Caenorhabditis elegans: one gene and its partners. The protein of the gene in region 4 purifies or fractionates together with the protein of the main gene of each other region. This does not show direct contact. Each region holds a gene or a part of one and is shown on either strand. Other genes may lie near its edges. The genes, in order: nspg-12, snx-3, deps-1 and W10C8.5.

Evidence for each region.
Region 1: the proteins of W10C8.5 (region 4) and nspg-12 fractionate together in Caenorhabditis elegans (co-fractionation; one large-scale study listed by BioGRID). This does not show direct contact.
Region 2: the proteins of W10C8.5 (region 4) and snx-3 fractionate together in Caenorhabditis elegans (co-fractionation; one large-scale study listed by BioGRID). This does not show direct contact.
Region 3: the proteins of W10C8.5 (region 4) and deps-1 fractionate together in Caenorhabditis elegans (co-fractionation; one large-scale study listed by BioGRID). This does not show direct contact.

What each region holds. Positions count from the first base shown.
Region 1 is NC_003284.9:5,255,525-5,258,944, reverse strand, and holds nspg-12 (DUF19 domain-containing protein), read right to left. Parts: upstream 1,647-3,420; 5' UTR 1,637-1,646; coding exon 1,603-1,636; intron 1,553-1,602; coding exon 1,436-1,552; intron 1,389-1,435; coding exon 1,301-1,388; intron 1,246-1,300; coding exon 1,156-1,245; intron 1,108-1,155; coding exon 1,043-1,107; intron 995-1,042; coding exon 877-994; intron 822-876; coding exon 682-821; intron 640-681; coding exon 632-639; 3' UTR 561-631; downstream 1-560. Other genes in the region: nspg-13 (DUF19 domain-containing protein), read right to left, coding at 2,198-2,226, 2,283-2,428, 2,477-2,594, 3,030-3,184, 3,234-3,286.
Region 2 is NC_003279.8:9,062,776-9,066,231, forward strand, and holds snx-3 (Sorting nexin-3), read right to left. Parts: upstream 1,629-3,456; 5' UTR 1,624-1,628; coding exon 1,528-1,623; intron 1,486-1,527; coding exon 1,420-1,485; intron 1,374-1,419; coding exon 1,153-1,373; intron 1,065-1,152; coding exon 959-1,064; 3' UTR 503-958; downstream 1-502. Other genes in the region: prmt-7 (Protein arginine N-methyltransferase 7), read right to left, coding at 1-15, 68-192, 284-372; rad-54.L (DNA repair and recombination protein RAD54-like), read left to right, coding at 2,312-2,415, 2,830-2,908, 2,982-3,225, 3,269-3,408.
Region 3 is NC_003279.8:504,634-509,609, forward strand, and holds deps-1 (P-granule-associated protein deps-1), read left to right. Parts: upstream 1-1,839; 5' UTR 1,840-1,843; coding exon 1,844-1,954; intron 1,955-2,005; coding exon 2,006-2,112; intron 2,113-2,168; coding exon 2,169-2,383; intron 2,384-2,431; coding exon 2,432-2,592; intron 2,593-2,643; coding exon 2,644-2,775; intron 2,776-2,820; coding exon 2,821-3,072; intron 3,073-3,121; coding exon 3,122-3,262; intron 3,263-3,310; coding exon 3,311-3,415; intron 3,416-3,464; coding exon 3,465-3,698; intron 3,699-3,748; coding exon 3,749-3,858; intron 3,859-3,904; coding exon 3,905-4,124; intron 4,125-4,171; coding exon 4,172-4,243; 3' UTR 4,244-4,338; downstream 4,339-4,976. Other genes in the region: Y65B4BL.4 (Dolichyl-phosphate-mannose--protein mannosyltransferase), read right to left, coding at 873-972, 1,027-1,138, 1,187-1,416, 1,460-1,579; Y65B4BL.7 (uncharacterized protein), read right to left, coding at 4,339-4,581, 4,629-4,790. UniProt on the Caenorhabditis elegans protein: Component of P-granules which is required for P-granule formation and integrity in adult germ cells. Promotes the accumulation of glh-1 mRNA and localization of pgl-1 to P-granules. Involved in RNA-mediated gene silencing (RNAi) in the germline.
Region 4 is NC_003279.8:2,853,438-2,857,700, forward strand, and holds W10C8.5 (arginine kinase), read right to left. Parts: upstream 2,296-4,263; 5' UTR 2,234-2,295; coding exon 2,135-2,233; intron 2,006-2,134; exon of another isoform or gene 1,858-2,005; intron 1,813-1,857; coding exon 1,015-1,812; intron 967-1,014; coding exon 754-966; intron 704-753; coding exon 614-703; 3' UTR 538-613; downstream 1-537. Other genes in the region: W10C8.4 (Glutathione S-transferase), read right to left, coding at 289-359.

The DNA of each region.
Region 1 (3,420 bases), on a different chromosome or scaffold from region 4:
GAAAAACCAACAAAAAAGTTATGTTCTGAAATTGTACCAAGTATTCATTTTAGCCTGCCAATGCATATATGATCAGGGGTGGGTGGCATTTATTTTCGGCAATTCTACAAAAAAAGTTGCATTATTTTTTCCCACATTTTTCATTAAAAAAATTAGTGCCGAACTACAGAATGTTGTTTGATTTACTTGAAAATAACATCGACGTTAGCTGAAACATTAATAAACGTGCTAAAAAAATTGCCTGAAAGATATCAATTGTGGAAATATAAAGCTGGAAAATTCGATTCATCATTTGGCAATTTCCAACCATTTTTGAAGCACTTTCAGCTAAAATGATTGTAATTATCGGATAAATTAAATGAGTTTTTACATTTTCACACTATTTTTTTACGAATAATGTTAGAACAACGTGGCGCAATATGTAATTTGATCTGGTTCTACGAAATTCAATAACATTTCGTATTGTACTGTTTTGTAATAAAAGTTTTATTAATTTTTTTTGGATGGGAAATTATTTCAACTTGATGGTATCTCTTTTAGATTTAGCTTTTTTGTTGAAACATACGAAATATTTTATTTCAAAATCGAAATACCACAAAATTGATAAAACATTTGCATTTCTTCCCGGCGTTCAGAATGCTGAAAAAATAAAAATTGCTCATTAATCTGTTTTGGACTTACTTGAGCATTGAAGACTGCAATCGTGCAGAACAGCTCGACCAGCTTGTCGTGCATATTCACATCCCCACCAAGAGCTCTCAGAGTTACAGGAACTGTGATCGAACAATGCATTGAAACATCCGGTATATTGCTCGAAGTACCTGCAGATTTTTTAAAAATTAATTATGTTGTAAATTTTTGATCATATTTCATTACATGCAGTGGTTCTTATAATCTGCCAACAAATTCTTGGCAAATGTGGCACGGCAATCGCTGATCTGAGTTTGTTTTGTGGAAAAAATGTTCGACATACAAACATCGTTGTTGGAGAATCCTTAAACATTTAAAATTTTTTGTTGCTCAAAAATTATTGAAAACCTACCTTCAAATCCAGCTCCGCACGCAAATCCGAATTGTTTGTACATTGACACCACTTGCACGGCATCTCTGAAAACTTGGTAAGATTAACAGAAATAATGAATTGTGCCAACTTACCCAAGTCGAAGACCTGCTTTCACGTGATAACTAATGCTGGTGCAGTCACGTCGTGCTGGTCCAAGACATTCATAGTACTTGTTAAAAGCGCTGAAATCAATTTTTTTCGATGGGCAAAAGACAATGTAAGTATGAAAAAACGAACTCGCAAACTTTGAACAAACCACTTATACCGTTGATGTACATGTTTTCAATTTCTTGACGGTGACATTCAGGCTCGAAAGCAAGAATTCCTCAAAAATTGATAGCTCATTCAATTAAATTGTTATAAAAGCTTTACCATAACAGTTTGACAAGCCTAGATCAGATTTGAGCTGTAGCCCGCAACACTGAAGTAAATCTGGAGTGCATGTACCTGTAGTTGAAGGAGCGCATGCACAAAAAGCTGTTGGTGCTACTGAACATGCTTAAAAGGTCAATCAATCTGGGGGTACATTTTGAACTTACTTGCCAACACCGCAATCAATACATTCAACAGCATGTCGTGGAACGGAAAAGCTAGGGAAATGTTTCATTTATGGGATTAAGAATTGCAGTCCTTATCAGTTGAAGTGATTATCAATAATCCTGTACGCTTAAAAGACATTGATTATTGCATTAAATGGGCTAAGCGGAAAAAGTATTTTCGGAACCTTGTATTTGAATTTGACGGTGAAATTTTAAAACGAATGAAAAAAAAACTAATTTTTTATTTCAAATATTGCATAATAAGTAAAACAATTTATAAAAGATACACAGTCAAAAAATAGTTTTTTTTCAATAATAATTTGCTTATAATCTGTTGTCCTACCAAAATGTTTAATATACCAAATGTTGAAAACGTCCCAAAAAAGCTATTGGCAATATTTATTTCAAAACCCTTTTTTCAAAACTTTTCATGAAGTTCCCCATCGCCACACCAATAGATTGTCATATACTATACCGATGGCATTTTCTCAGTAATAAAAATTTATTCTTATCACAAATGATAATACATAGTTAAGATTGAATGACAAAAAGTTAATAATTTGTTTGTATCTGACATCATTTCGTTTTATTCGACTCATCCGATGATTCCTCCGCTATATGGCACTGCAAAAAAACAAAATCAATTTTACTAGATTTCACAATTTTCAAGTTTCACTTACAAACACATCTAGCTGCACATTGAGGGAATCGAGTAAAAACATTGACTCTTGAGTATTCACAAGCCCAGAACATGGCATCGTTTGATTTTTCACCACAGTTGTTTTTGAACTGAGTTTCGAAGCAAATCAAGTACTTATTGGCTTGTCTGTAAGTTTGGTTGGCGTTTTTTAATAATACCCGATGGTCTTCTTACGTGCAAGCCTGATTTGCGTCAACGTCACTGTTCACCTCATAATCTAGTCGGCATTGTCTCAGGACATCACTTTGGCTTCTCCAAGTAGTTGACATACAGCCCTCATTAAGGAGGTATGCTGAAATGAAGAAAGTTACCTCGTTACGGTTGGAATCCATTAGTCTGTATAAGGCGCTATTTTTGTGTTAATCGATTTCTGATCTCTGAGCAAATTAGGAATTTATAGTAAATGCGCAGCCGACTTCGGTTGTGGTCAGCGATGGACCTATTTCCCATGTATATCATATTTTCCTGCGTCTCTTGAATGTTTTTTTTAAACCTAATATGTGCTAGTATTCATGCCTATTCTAATCATAACTCAGAAATTCCTCTAAGAGTCTCATAATGTGTATAAATTACCACAGCAGCAAGCCCCAGAAAGTTTGATTTCGACACTCCCCGTGTTTTCCACCTATTCTAGAAACTTCATACCATGCCAAAAAGATGTGTAATTGTGTACTCAACAAAATTCAATTCCGACATCGCGTCGGGAAATGACAATAAAAATTCATACTTTGCAATCCAGCTCCACAGACAAAGTGCATTTGGTTGAACAGTCCAACAAATTGATAAGCGTTGAATGGAGTGGCCGATACAGAAACAAAATGGACCGCAGACATGCAGTTCGCGTATTCAGAGCCCATGCAAACTTTAAACTCGCGGAAAGCTCTGGAATTATATTCAGGATTCGAGAGAGAGTATCTAGTGAAGTACTGACTTGCAAACTTTACGCATTCCACTGGGTCCTTGAGCCTGGTAGTTTGTCTCCACCTAAATTTAATCAATAATTGTGTTTTGCTCTTTTTTCTGATAATCAAAAAATCAGATTATAATACAATCATGATGACATAATTAATCCCATTGACTTAAAAGTTATCATCGACACGTTCTAAACCTCACATTTC
Region 2 (3,456 bases), 6.2 Mb from region 4:
GTCCAGTTCCAGTACCTGTAAATAGTAAACTTTAAAAACCGAATAAGTTGAAAACTTAACAGCTAACCAATATCTAAAACATGAACTTTCCCATCTGTATTTTCATGTTTTTTCTCAGCAATCGTAGTTTTTAATCCTGCGAGGAACTTGTCATTTCTATCAAAATCCAGAATCATATCTCCAAATCGACTTCTGAAAATTAACGTTTTAAAGCAAGAAAATGCGAGAAGTATTGTTTATTAAATTTTATTTCTATGCGGAATATTTTTTTAAAGTTGAAAACCTGGCAAGTTCCTGAGCCATATCATAATCCTCTTCAGCCACAACCCATTCTCGTTCGCCGGTTTTTTGATTTATCTTCTCAAGGAACATTTTTCAGAAAACCCTGCAAATTGTCTATCTTAAAGATATGCTCGTTTTAATGATACACTCAAGATATTTGCGATATGCACACAACTGCCAATTTACCACTTTAAAATCCAAAGAAACGAAATCAAGGAACGGAAGACTTATTTTTCATATTTGTTCAAATAAAAGGGGTTCATGCAATAAAAATAGTGCAATCAATTGGGAAATTGGGAAACTATACACAAAAATGTAAAAATAAATATGAAATAAACAGGAGCCAGAAAATGGAAATCAATGGGAAAGAAGTGGTGATGGGGACAAAGTACACAATTTCGAAAAATACCGCATTTTGGTGGAGGGATGGAAACAATATTTTGATGGGCCGAGATTAAATTGGAAAAAAGCTTCTAAAAACTCACTTTTTGAAAACTAAATATCTCAAAAGATCAGAAAGCGTTACTCATTTTTTGTTATGTAAAAATATGATAAGAAAACATTATCATTTTTTAAAAGTTTCCTTCTGTTTATTGAAACAGACAGCGTTAAAACTATAACTCTGGGTATTTTGAGATTTTTCTCGTGAGCGGAGAATTTAGAAACATTTTAAAATTTAAGCGGTACGAATTTTGCCAGGCACGTAGTTTTTGTCAATAGTTGGCTCCTGGAGGAAAATATGGAGAGAGCGTTCGTTTTGAGCAAGTGGATGTCCAGCAACCCTGCAAGAACATATTATTAAAACTTTTAGAAATGTGAAAATTTTCTGAGTTCATTTTGATGTCCGTATAGTTGAACAGTTTTACGTACTTATTGATGAATAACTCGAGAGCTTTGCGCCTATTTTCAATGAATTCCTCTTCAAAAATTCCATCATCGGATCGGAATGGCAGTTGCCGTTTGAATGATTTTCCTGGCAACGTTGGAACCACAATCTTGCTATCTCGCTCTAGTTCAGCACGAACCCATTCGAAATCACTGTATCGGCGACGCACGCTTGATTCTTTCTGCTTGAAAACGGGGAGATTCGACTGAAACAACGATTTTATTATGCGGTCAGTGTTAATCTATACTTACTCTCATTCTGATTTCGTAATCCGTGTAGCGCATTTTTCCAACACCATGAGTGATAGGATTGATAACCTGCAAGTTATCTTGATCTAATTCATTGATTTTTATTCAAACCTCAATTTCAAGGAAGTTGGCCGGCGGGGCATATGCCTCGTCCAGCGTTTGCCGTTTTGAAGGGATCCGCTGAGTTGCCGACGCGCCGGATGCCATTTGCACTGCAAATATTCTAAATTATATCAAAGTTGCTTTGAATTGTTTATTTAAGTATCGATTTTCACAATATAAACAAAATAAAAGTGAAATTTATGTTGGAATCCAAAGCTTTAATCGACAACATGCGAGAACATCGTTTGCTTTTTGTTTCGCTGTTCGGCAAACTAAAATGGAAAAAATAATATGAAGCTGTGAAAAATCAATAAATAAAACTGGAATTTCAAGGAAATTACGGCAAAAATGACTCATCGCGCGCCGATAAACAAAACGAATCAAGAAATGAAAAAAGTGGCAAAAGTACGCAAACACTTTTGTGTTAATGCACACAAAAAATTCAACCGTACCTCAAACTGAAATTTCAAAAGCAGACACCGCAGATTCATGGAATGAAAAAGCAGTGACTCGCTATGACTCAAAATTTTAAAAAGATTATAATTGATTCAAAAGCAAAAAAATGTTTCACAACAAATCTATGTTGTAAAATAATTGTTAAATTGAAAATTAATAGCTGACACCGCCCTGTGTCCGTGTTTCGTCTTCTTCGAAACTTTGTTTTCGTTCAAGATGGCGCGGCGCCGTTCTTTTTGAATAAAAAGAGCATTTTAAAAATTTTGTTGAATTTCTGTAAATTCTACTTGTTTATTCAGTTGTTCTGCGAAATTAAAGATTTTCTTAGTTTTCAGGAATGCCAAAAAAAACGTTCGAAAATTTAGAAGATAGTCATGGAAAAGATGTTAATATCCCAGTTGAACTGCCAAAAAGGAAACGAGAAGTTACACCGGAAAATTTGTGAGCTTTTATAAAAAATTCAAATTTTAACACATACCGTATTCCCTCTATTAGTCTTGCATGCAAGACTAATAGAGGAAATACGGTAATAGTCATGCACCCCTATTCTTGCCAGGCCAGCAGTATTTTGTCAAAACTTCAAAATTTTCGCCATTTTTTAGCTAAATTAAATTTTAAACTGTTCAAGTAATTGATAAAACAATAGAAAAGCATGTATTTTGCATGATTTAGACTGTTTCAAGTCAAAATTTTGACGATAAATGGCCAATTTAACAAAGCTATTGGATCTTCGAAAATTAGTCTTGTAGCCTCTAATAGTCTTGCAGTCCCTATTAGTCTTGCACCCCTACGGGTCTATTGAAAATTAGTCTTGCATGCAAGACTAATAGAGGAAATGCGGTATATTATTTTCAGACCTTCCACAAGCTCTACTGCTCCAACACAAAAACGGAAAAGTCTAGGATATTCAGGACGAACGGAGGAACCGAAAAATGTATTAATATTTTTAGTTGCAATGAAATACAATTCGGAACTTAATTGTAATTGTAATTTTTAATGTTTTTCAGATACACAAAACCTTCATTTCCCCTTTTTCTACGTCAGTTTCTCCTTCAAAACAAGGTCTTCGACGACGAAAGAAGGCACTGCCTGCCATAGAACCACCTGTATCTGTAGAAGAAGCAAGTCCATTACGTTTTGTGAATATCGATGTATTCTCTAGACGTATGGCTTCCGAATCATCAGATCACGATGCTATGATTGCGAAGTTGTTGTCGAGAAAGTTTTCAATTCCGATGGAGGGATATATGTGTAAGAAAACATGTAAAAATGTTTATTTTAAACGAGTTTTCAGTATCTGGTCGAAGCCTAGGTCTTGGTGGAAACCGTCGAAAATGTGCTCTATTTGATCCATATCATGAAGGTGCATTGATTCTTTATGCTCCTGAACATCTTAGTGAACACGCACAACTCAAGGAAGATAAGGATCGAAAGGTGAGAATTTTAGCTGCGAGAATCGAAAAAAAAACATGAATAAAAAAA
Region 3 (4,976 bases), 2.3 Mb from region 4:
TCTCAGTTTTTGCCTAATTCCTATTTGAATTACCGCCAATTGGATTTGTTCGATGGAGCGCGCTTGCACGTTTTTAAATTTATTTATTTTATTTATTGTTATTTTCCACCGATTTTCAATGTTTTCGGTGTATTTTTGCTTGAATTTTAGAGAAAAAGTTAAAATAAATGCAAATTTCCGATTAAAAAATCACTGAAAATGCGTAAAACTGAAAAATATGCTAGTTTCAGGTTTGTTGTCGTCGGAACTCATTATTTTACAGTTTTACGTATTTTTCACATTTTTAAACACTTTTTAGCAAACATTCTGCATTAATCTTGCTTTTTTACTTCTCTTTCCGATAAAAATACACAACTAATGAAGAAAATCAGTGACATAATAATAATAATAATAATAATAATAATAATAATAATTTATTACGCTCGCTGGGAGACGTGAAGGAATACAGAATACAAAAGTTATCATTGTTCGCTTGAACTAGAATTGGTGCAGTCGGGCAATCGTTTCCATTCCATTAAAATGTTGTCCTTGTCCTTGCGTTGTCCTTGCGTAGACTCCCCCATAGTGGGCGAGCGATTCCCGAGTGAAAATAATCACGGAATGAAAAAATAGAAGAAAAATAGAATAAATTAATAAAAAAAATAATGCAAGCGCGCTCCAACGAACGAGTTCAATTGGCGGTAATTCAAATAGGAATTAGGCAAAAACTTTTTCAGATTTTTTCAATTTTCAAAAAATCATATAAAATTTATAAATTTTTTTTGAAGTTTTTTAACGTGATATTTGGTCATTGTGGTACCATAGGCGTGTTTTAAAGCAATTTCCCCACAGGGTGTAGTCCACATTTAAAAATTAAAAATTAAAAATTCTACCTAACAAAATCGAAAATTTCAGATTCTCCTTGATTAAAAGCTTTATTATTGAGTAAAGAGTCCGCAGCGTCCACACGGAGAGCGGGTACAAGATGGAAATCTGAAAATATTTAGGATTTTCAAGGGAAAATATCGATTTTTTTTAGCAAAATACCACAGAAATTGCGGATGGAATGAGTAGAAGAGCCGGGTTGACTTTCCGGGGAAAGTTTCGACGTGTGATGCTCGTCTCGGAGAGCCTCATTCCCAAGAATCCGGTTGCGATGCTGAAGAAAATCGATGGAAAAAGTCTAAAATATCCCCTGAAACCCTACCTAAAAATCAGAAAATACGAGAAAATATTGATTAAATTCCGAGCCGGCACATAATTCGGGCGGATCAGCACTCCATTGAAGTTTCGAAACGTTTCGCCGTTCCACTGAAGTCCATCGAAGCCGGGAACGGATGGCGGCTCGAAATGCTCGTCGACACTCATTTGACTGGCCCTGTAGAGCCCGATGATGGCAATGGCGAGCATTCCCACTTCCACATGGAATATCAGGCTCTGAAAATTAAAATTTAGCTTTTAGACGGAAAAAATCGATTACTTTGACATGAACTTGATCGAAAAGCCAGCGATACGGGTATTTTCGGTGCAGGCGGCCTGATTCCGGACGTGCTCCTCGAGATATATTGGAATTTGTCGAGCGGATACTAATATCTGCCATTTTTTCGCTGAAAAATCAGAAAAAATAAGTTTTAAAACAGAATTTTAATGGAAAAATAAACGGAAAAATTCGAAACTTTTTTTTCCGCCATTGAACACCAATGTGCCTTTAAGGTACGGTAGCTCTTCGTGGTGAGACCACTGCGCCGCGCATCTGATTTCTCGTGGGAAATTTGTTTCGAATCCTACGTTTTTTACAGATTTTTCTTTTTTTTCGTTTCGCTCATCATTTTTTTGTTGCAAAAAATCCAATTTTCAGACAAAAATGTCAGAACGCCAATCCAAATATTTTGACTATCAAGGTATCGTCATTTCCTCCACTGGACAAGATAACCAAGATTCGGAGACGGACCTCGTTTATCTCATTCAAGCTCATGTACGTGAATTCCCTCCGTTTTCATATTTAAAATAATAAGCTCGTTTTCAGGGAAAAGCGGCCCCGAAGAACATCATGTACGGTGTCTCCAAGTGCGCATTTGTTCCAACAAACTTGGAGAGGAATTTCGATAATATCGAAGAGGCAAAAAATCTTGAGTCAGTATTTATTTGATTTGAGCCCATTTTTAATCTGTTAACACTTGAATTTTTAGACGTCGATCCAAAATCCCGCTAAAGTTCGGTGAAGTCATCCTATGGAACGAATCGGACTGTGATCACGATAAGAGGATAATCCTTCATATCAAACGAGAAAAACCAATTTATGAAGCGTCTTCCAGCAGAAATGGACTTATTTTGAAAGTCGGTGGCGTCATCCAGCCCACCTCAACGACCTCGTTCTGGACGCCATTATGCACCGTCACCATGCGTATGTTTCTTCTTGATTTTCGTCTCTCTAACCATATATTTATTTCAGCAGAGACAGAGGCGACCCGTGCGGAGCCAGACGTTTGGCTATACGCCTGGATTCGATTCGAAACTACCATGAAGAGTGGTCTAGATCCTTTCAATATGACTGCAACATTCGAATCGTTTGACAGTTGCGATCCATCCGACCAAGCACGCGTCTGTGAAGCGGTATTTGCTTTTTAAAAATTTTTTACGGGATTTTGAACAAATAACTTTCAGCCATGGAACGCAGGCTCTCCTGACTCTAAATTCGGTGTTTGGCGCCCGGATCCAAAGCCTGCTGATAGCGACGACGAAATTGATATCGAGCCGAGAGAAGGCTGGCACTTGCCAGAAGACAAATGGGCCGAGGTTAAGGTTGCTTTGTGGATTCTCGTTGACAATTTGATTTTGCAGGTCATCAAGATGCAGCTTGGCCTGTATGTCGGCGAACGCCTACTGATTTGCAAAGAACTCTCGCAGTTCGACTTTATTATCCCACTGCAGAAGCCATTTTCCCGAGGAACGGACAAGACTTTGATCTACCCAGCCGTCGGAGAATACTTTCATTTCAGTGCTATTTGGTCGATGCAGCACAACGGTTTTCTGATCTATGAGCTTCAGCCAGTTCCACTTCTCAGACAGCATGTAACCTCTGTCAACGGAAATGTAAGTTATAATATTGATTTTTTTGTCCAGAACATAATTTTTATTTCAGCTCCTTACCCGCGTCGTTCCTGCCAGTATCAGAGGTCTCTTCGTTGACAAGGAGGGCACTCTTGGATTGATTGATGACCCACACCATCTTCTTTCATTCTTCGAGTTTCATCCAGCTGGTTATGAATTCTTGAAGGCTATGGTAATCATGAGTGGGTCTTATTTTGAAACAAACGCTTTCAATTTTCAGGCCGAAGTTCGTGCTGTTCGAACTTCAGAAAACAAATCTGTCCGTTACCGCATTGTTCGTACATCGGGAATGTCCATTTTTGAAAACTGGCTTCGTGATACTCAGGTCTCTAAAGTTAAATTAAACTCGTCCTTTTCACCCCTGAATTTTTCAGTTCGTTGTTGGTCCAGTCAAAGGAATTCGAATCAATGAAGACACTGTCATTTGTGCCAAACATCCGAATGTCTACTTCAAAATCCCCAATAACTTGAAGGAAGGAATCCCCATTGGCGGAGGAGTTCAATTCGTTGGAAAGCGACAAGCTGGAGTCGACAGTGAAATTATGATCACCGAATGTTCTCCATGTCCAGCGTTCACTTGTAAAAATTACTCGGTCTCTGGTGATACGGTTAGTCTTCAATTATTTAATAGTTTTTATTCTATGAGGAAAATATTCAGCGCTTGTTCCAAGTGTACTTGAAGCCAAATTGCGATCATGAGCAGTTGGCGGAGAGTGATTCGATGGGATTTGTGGATTTCAGAGAGTTGGAGACTCCATGTAGAGGAAAGTGAGTGTGTCAGGATTTGTAAAAATAATTGTAACTGAATTTTAAGGTTCCTGGCATGGGTCCGTGAATCCATTACTGTCAATGATTGTCGCCGTGCTGCTACCATCATGGAAGTATGCTCGACAGCCATCTGTCCTCCGTTGATTGCAATGAGCGCGAATTCGAGCAGAGCAACATCGGCCAGAACTACGCCAGCTGGAAGTTCCATTGGATCCAGATCATCAATTCAATCAAGAGCATCTGCAGCTACTTCAGTGAGCTCAAACGTAAGTTTATTTTTAAGGTTGGAAGATGATAAAAACAAGTTTTTCAGCGATTCGTTGGCCCTTCAAGCCGCAGAACTCCATCTGGTACTCCACAAAGCTCAACATCTTCCAGGGTCTAATTAAATATATACGCATCCCGTTTTCCCCCGTATTTGTGTTTCAAATGTTCTGCTCATTTTTAATCTACCCGTTATCCAACCAAACATTTATTTATTTAAACTTCAAGTTCCACCACCATCCCATTCCGCACAACTTGTCTCTCGTAATTTTCTCGTGCTCTAATGAAGTTGTGGTAGGTTATTCTAGTGAATACACCCATGTTAAGCAGCGAATACATCCAGAAAAGTCCCAACAAGCCGGCAGCGAGATACTCCCCCCAAAATGATGGTTGATCGGTACATCCAAGATAGGGTAGCATCGCGATAGACGTGAGCAAGTTCGTTATGCACTTGAAAAACTGAAATTTCAGAAAAGATTAGGTGTATCAGAAGGTTAAAAACAAACAAATGACATATAGATGAACGAAGCCAGTGATGGAATCGGATTCCGAATACGAGAAGCCATTCCCGGAGATACTGTGATAAGAATCTGTGTGATCGAGAACACAATGAGCACACCCACCGGGAACATGAATTCCATGGAAACACGGAGGCAAAGGTCACAGTACTGCAAAAAATGCGAAATTTTGGCGATTTTTGCTCTAAAAAATGCACTGGCCGGGTCTCACCACGACAAATTTTTGTTGTCAGTTGAATGCCAATAGAGTGTGCGCCTTTAAGGAGTACTGTAGTTTCAAACTTTTGTTGCAATCGATTTTACAGTTTTCCCGAGAAACAAAAGTTTGAAACTACA
Region 4 (4,263 bases):
TCATCGATCTTTTACAGTTTTGTAATTACAGTACTCTTTAAAATGGCACGTATTTTTACATTCAAGAAAAATGTACCGGGCTTTTTTGGAGCTTTAATTTTTAGAGGAATAATCGTAATTTTTAACATTCATAGAACTCTTTTGTTCCGTCAAGAAAATTATCTTGACATAACTTTTAAGAAAACGAAAAATTGTAATGTTAAAATACAACCACGATTTACTGAACATTCTCGAAAAGTCGCTGCGAGACCCAAAATCTTCTAGAGCCCAATATCCCAAAACTCTTACAGTAACCGAATAGTCTCAGCTCGTCCTCGTCCAGGCAGGGAAATCAGTTCCAATTTCGTAGGCGCCGACATTTACAGTAGTTTTACAGCAGCGAAAATATAAAAAGCAATGTAGTGAAGCTTCTGGTAAAAATAGAGAGTATGACAGTCCGCTAAGCGGCGCCCCATTGAGCAAACATGATGGCTCAAGTGGGTAACAAAAGAGTAAAAGTAGGTGATAGAGTGAGAGAAAGAAAAGAAACATAGAAATCATTCTACTACCATTTATTTAAATAGTTAATAGAGAAATAAAATATGACTAAACGAGTTTTTCTTCTTCTTCCAGTTTACTTCTGCTTCTCCTCCATTTCAATTAGCTTCTTCACTCCGTCGTACATTTGTTTCACAGCTTGATATTCCGAGAGTCCGAGGCGAGCCTGAGAAGTTGGAAATGTTGATTTTTCAACAAAAAACGTGGTTTATTTACCTTGTTAGAAATGTCATAGACTCCTCCAACAGATTCCGAGTGTTCTCCGTGGATTCCGCGCACTTGGAGATTGAGCTTCTCGCAAATCTCGATGAAGTCCTTGCGGGCGGCGAGCTTTGGAAGAGCAATGTGGACGGATGCACGAACTGTTGATCCGAGGTTTGTTGGGCAGAATGTCAGCCATCCGAGACGGTCATCACGGGAGAATGGAACCTGGAAAACATAATATGTTGAGTTTCGGAGCCTTATTAGAAAATCAACCTGCTTCTCAATTCCGCGAACTCCCTTGATAAGTCTGTCAAGCACAGCTCCGACATCAGACCCTTCTTGCATTGAAATGATTCTCATATGATCTTCCTCGTTCACCCAAATCAGGAAAGTCTTGTCGTTATTGTGGAAGATACCACGTCCCTTTGGCCAGAAGTTGCAGGCATTTGCGTATTGAAGATGTCTATCTCCCTCCTTGAACAGGAAATGATCAGCAATCAGCTGCTTCTGAGTATCCTTGCCCATACCATCCAATGGATAGTACTTGCCCTTGAGTTCCTTGTCCGAATATTCAGAGAACGCCTTCTTCACCTTTCCTTCCATCTCAAGATAGTTGTCCTGAGTGAGACATGGATTGAATGGATATCCCTTCAAAGAACGTCCACATCGGATTCTCGTCGACTTGATGTACTTTCCTTTTGGATCCAATGGTGGGAATTCCTTAGTCTTTCCCTCTCCAAGATCAACTGGTGGTTGCTTCTGCTTTGGACTGAATCCGTGATAATCCTCAATGATCTTGTCGAACAATGGAGCGAACAAAGTGTAAGCTTCAGCGTCCGGAGCGTAGACTCCAACTCCGGCGTCCAAATTATAGACACCTGACCGGATGCAGTCGTAAAGGGTTGCTCCGAGCTTTGTACGCTTAGTCTTGAGCTTCTCGACGACGTCCTTGGTCAGATGCTTCTTGAGCAGCGACTTGCACTTGGCTCCTTCTGGACCATTGAGCTTGGCGTAGGCCTCCTCGATCTTCTTGATCGTGGCAGCGTCGACTTCGGATTTGGCTTGAAGTTGCTGGAAAAAGTATATTTAGAGATTTGTAACATTGTTTCTGAGAACTGCGTTCCCGGAATATTTTCTTTCATATCTTGATGACAGAGTTTCAACACGGCTACGACCGCGACGCGGCTGCTTGCGGAGCGGCTCAAACAAAAAATAATTCATCAATTTCAGAATGCTGGAAAATCAAGCGCTCTGGGCAAGAATAGCTTTGTTGTTTGAGCCGCTGCTGGTCATGGCCGCGGACTAGGTTCCGCTGAACCTCTGCCATTTCAAAAAATGCACGGACTCTGAGAGCCCGTGAGGAAATATTTCTGAAAATTGCCTGTTGAATTACCTGTGGAGTGAGAGTGTAGACAGCGGATCCGGCTCCAAGGGCAGCGAGCACTCCAGCGACATACCGCGAGTTTGTTGAACGGAGAAATTGCGATGCCATTACGACGAGTTGATTGAGAAGAGATCGAATTGAATACGATAACTTCTTCGGTAATAATCAATCTGAGCTTTCTTTCATGACACGTTGACATTTGGAAAACACGTGGAAAGATTTAGAAATTAGATAAGAAAATTGTCACGTTTTTAAAAAAATGTTTTGGAAAGTTTTGTTCAAAATTTTTTTCTCAAGCTTTTGAATTTAAATACGTGAGAAGCTTGTTTTTATTTTTGCGCTGAATCGATGCACCCTATTTTGTGCGCAAAGATCAAAAGTTATTCTGGTGGGTCTCGCCACGATCTTTGGAGAATTGGTGGTAAACTTTCAGACTGTTCAGTGGCTTAGGCTTCGGCTTCGGCTAGGCCTAGACTATACTATTACCTACCTTACCTATCCTTAAACTTGCCTTTTTGGATAATTTCAAGGTCAGCACAATGATAACGACGTGTCTAGACACTTGTTTCCTCGAAACCTTCCAAATCCCCAGGACAAAAGAAATGGTTAAACTTTCGATTTTTTATTGCATTTCAAAAACTAGAACCTATTCAAAAACAGACAAAAAGTAAAAGAACAAAAAGACAAATTGTATGCCATCTATGACGTCATAACTTTCAAAAAATGCCAAAATTGATGGTGTTAGTGATAAATAATAATAATATTCCCAAATAAAAGTATTTTCCAAAGCTCCACGGAGCCGTCAACAAAAAAATGAATAAGAAAAACGAGCGTTCTCCTCTTCCTGCTCCGAACCGCCCATCTTTTTCTTTTTTTTCACATTCACTTTCTGACGGGATAATAATTTGTGTGGCTGGTAGGAAGAACGTGCAAATTGAAAAAATCATAAGCCTGGGGAAACTGTTTGTCTTTCCAAAGTTGCAACCAAACAAAATGAAACAAAACAAACGAGAAGGAAATCGAGAATTTGAGAGAGAGCGAGAAATTTGCGCGTCAAATGTGCTGTATTGACTCCGCCCATCTAGAATCTGGAAACACCGACGGGCGAAATTTAAATGGTTACTTCAAAATTCTGCAACTGGAATTTCGAAACACCACAAAAGAATAAAAAATACAACATTTTATTAAGTTTGAAAAACCTATGCTGTTGGCGAATTTTCAACTAATTTGAATTACCGCGCTTTTGTATTCAAGCTCCACCCATAGAACCGTGTTGCACTCTTCCTTTTTTTCAATTTTCGACTGAAATTTTTATTTTTCGTGTCCTTTTTTCAAATTTTAATCAAGAAAAAGGTCAGAAATGTTCAAAAATCGCAAGCAAATCCCTGCGCAAGGATGACACGCAAATTCGTGAAGCGTTCCAAAAATATTTTTCGTATTTCAAACGTACAAAAAAAATTTTTTTTTAATTGCCAAATAATTGGCAATTACTAACTTCCAAAGCAAGAGTTAAAAATGGCTAAAAATTGCCAAAAAACTGCTAAAAAAAAGCTAAAAATTGCAAAAAGTTGCCAAAAAATGCCAAAATTTGCCAAAAATTGCCTAAAAATTGTTTAAAAATTGCCGAAAATTGCTTTAAAATTTTCAAAAAAATTGGCAATTGCCAATTGCCAAAGCAAGAATTAAAAATTTGCTCAAAAAATTGCCAATTTCCGAAAGTTTCCAAAGCAAGAAAGAGTTAAAAAAAATGGCCAAAATTATCAAAACGTTGCCAACTGCAATTTCCCAAACTTGGCAAAAAAATGTCTAAAAATTTCTAAAAATTGCCAAAAAATAAGCCAAAAAAATTGCCAAAAAATTGTCAAAAAAATTGCCAAAGAAATTGCCGAAAAAATATTGTCAATTGCAAATTGCCAAAATTGTCAAAAAACTGCCAAACATAACCCAAAAAATTGCCAAAAAAAATTGCCAAAATTGTCAAAAAATTGCCGAAACAATGCCAAAAAAATTGCCAATCGAGAAATAAAAATTCCCATCTTTTTCCGCTGAAAATCAGCCTAAAACTAAAATAAAATCAAGAAATCACTCCAAGCCAAACCAAAGAACAAATACCAAGAACGTGACATAATCGAAGAGAA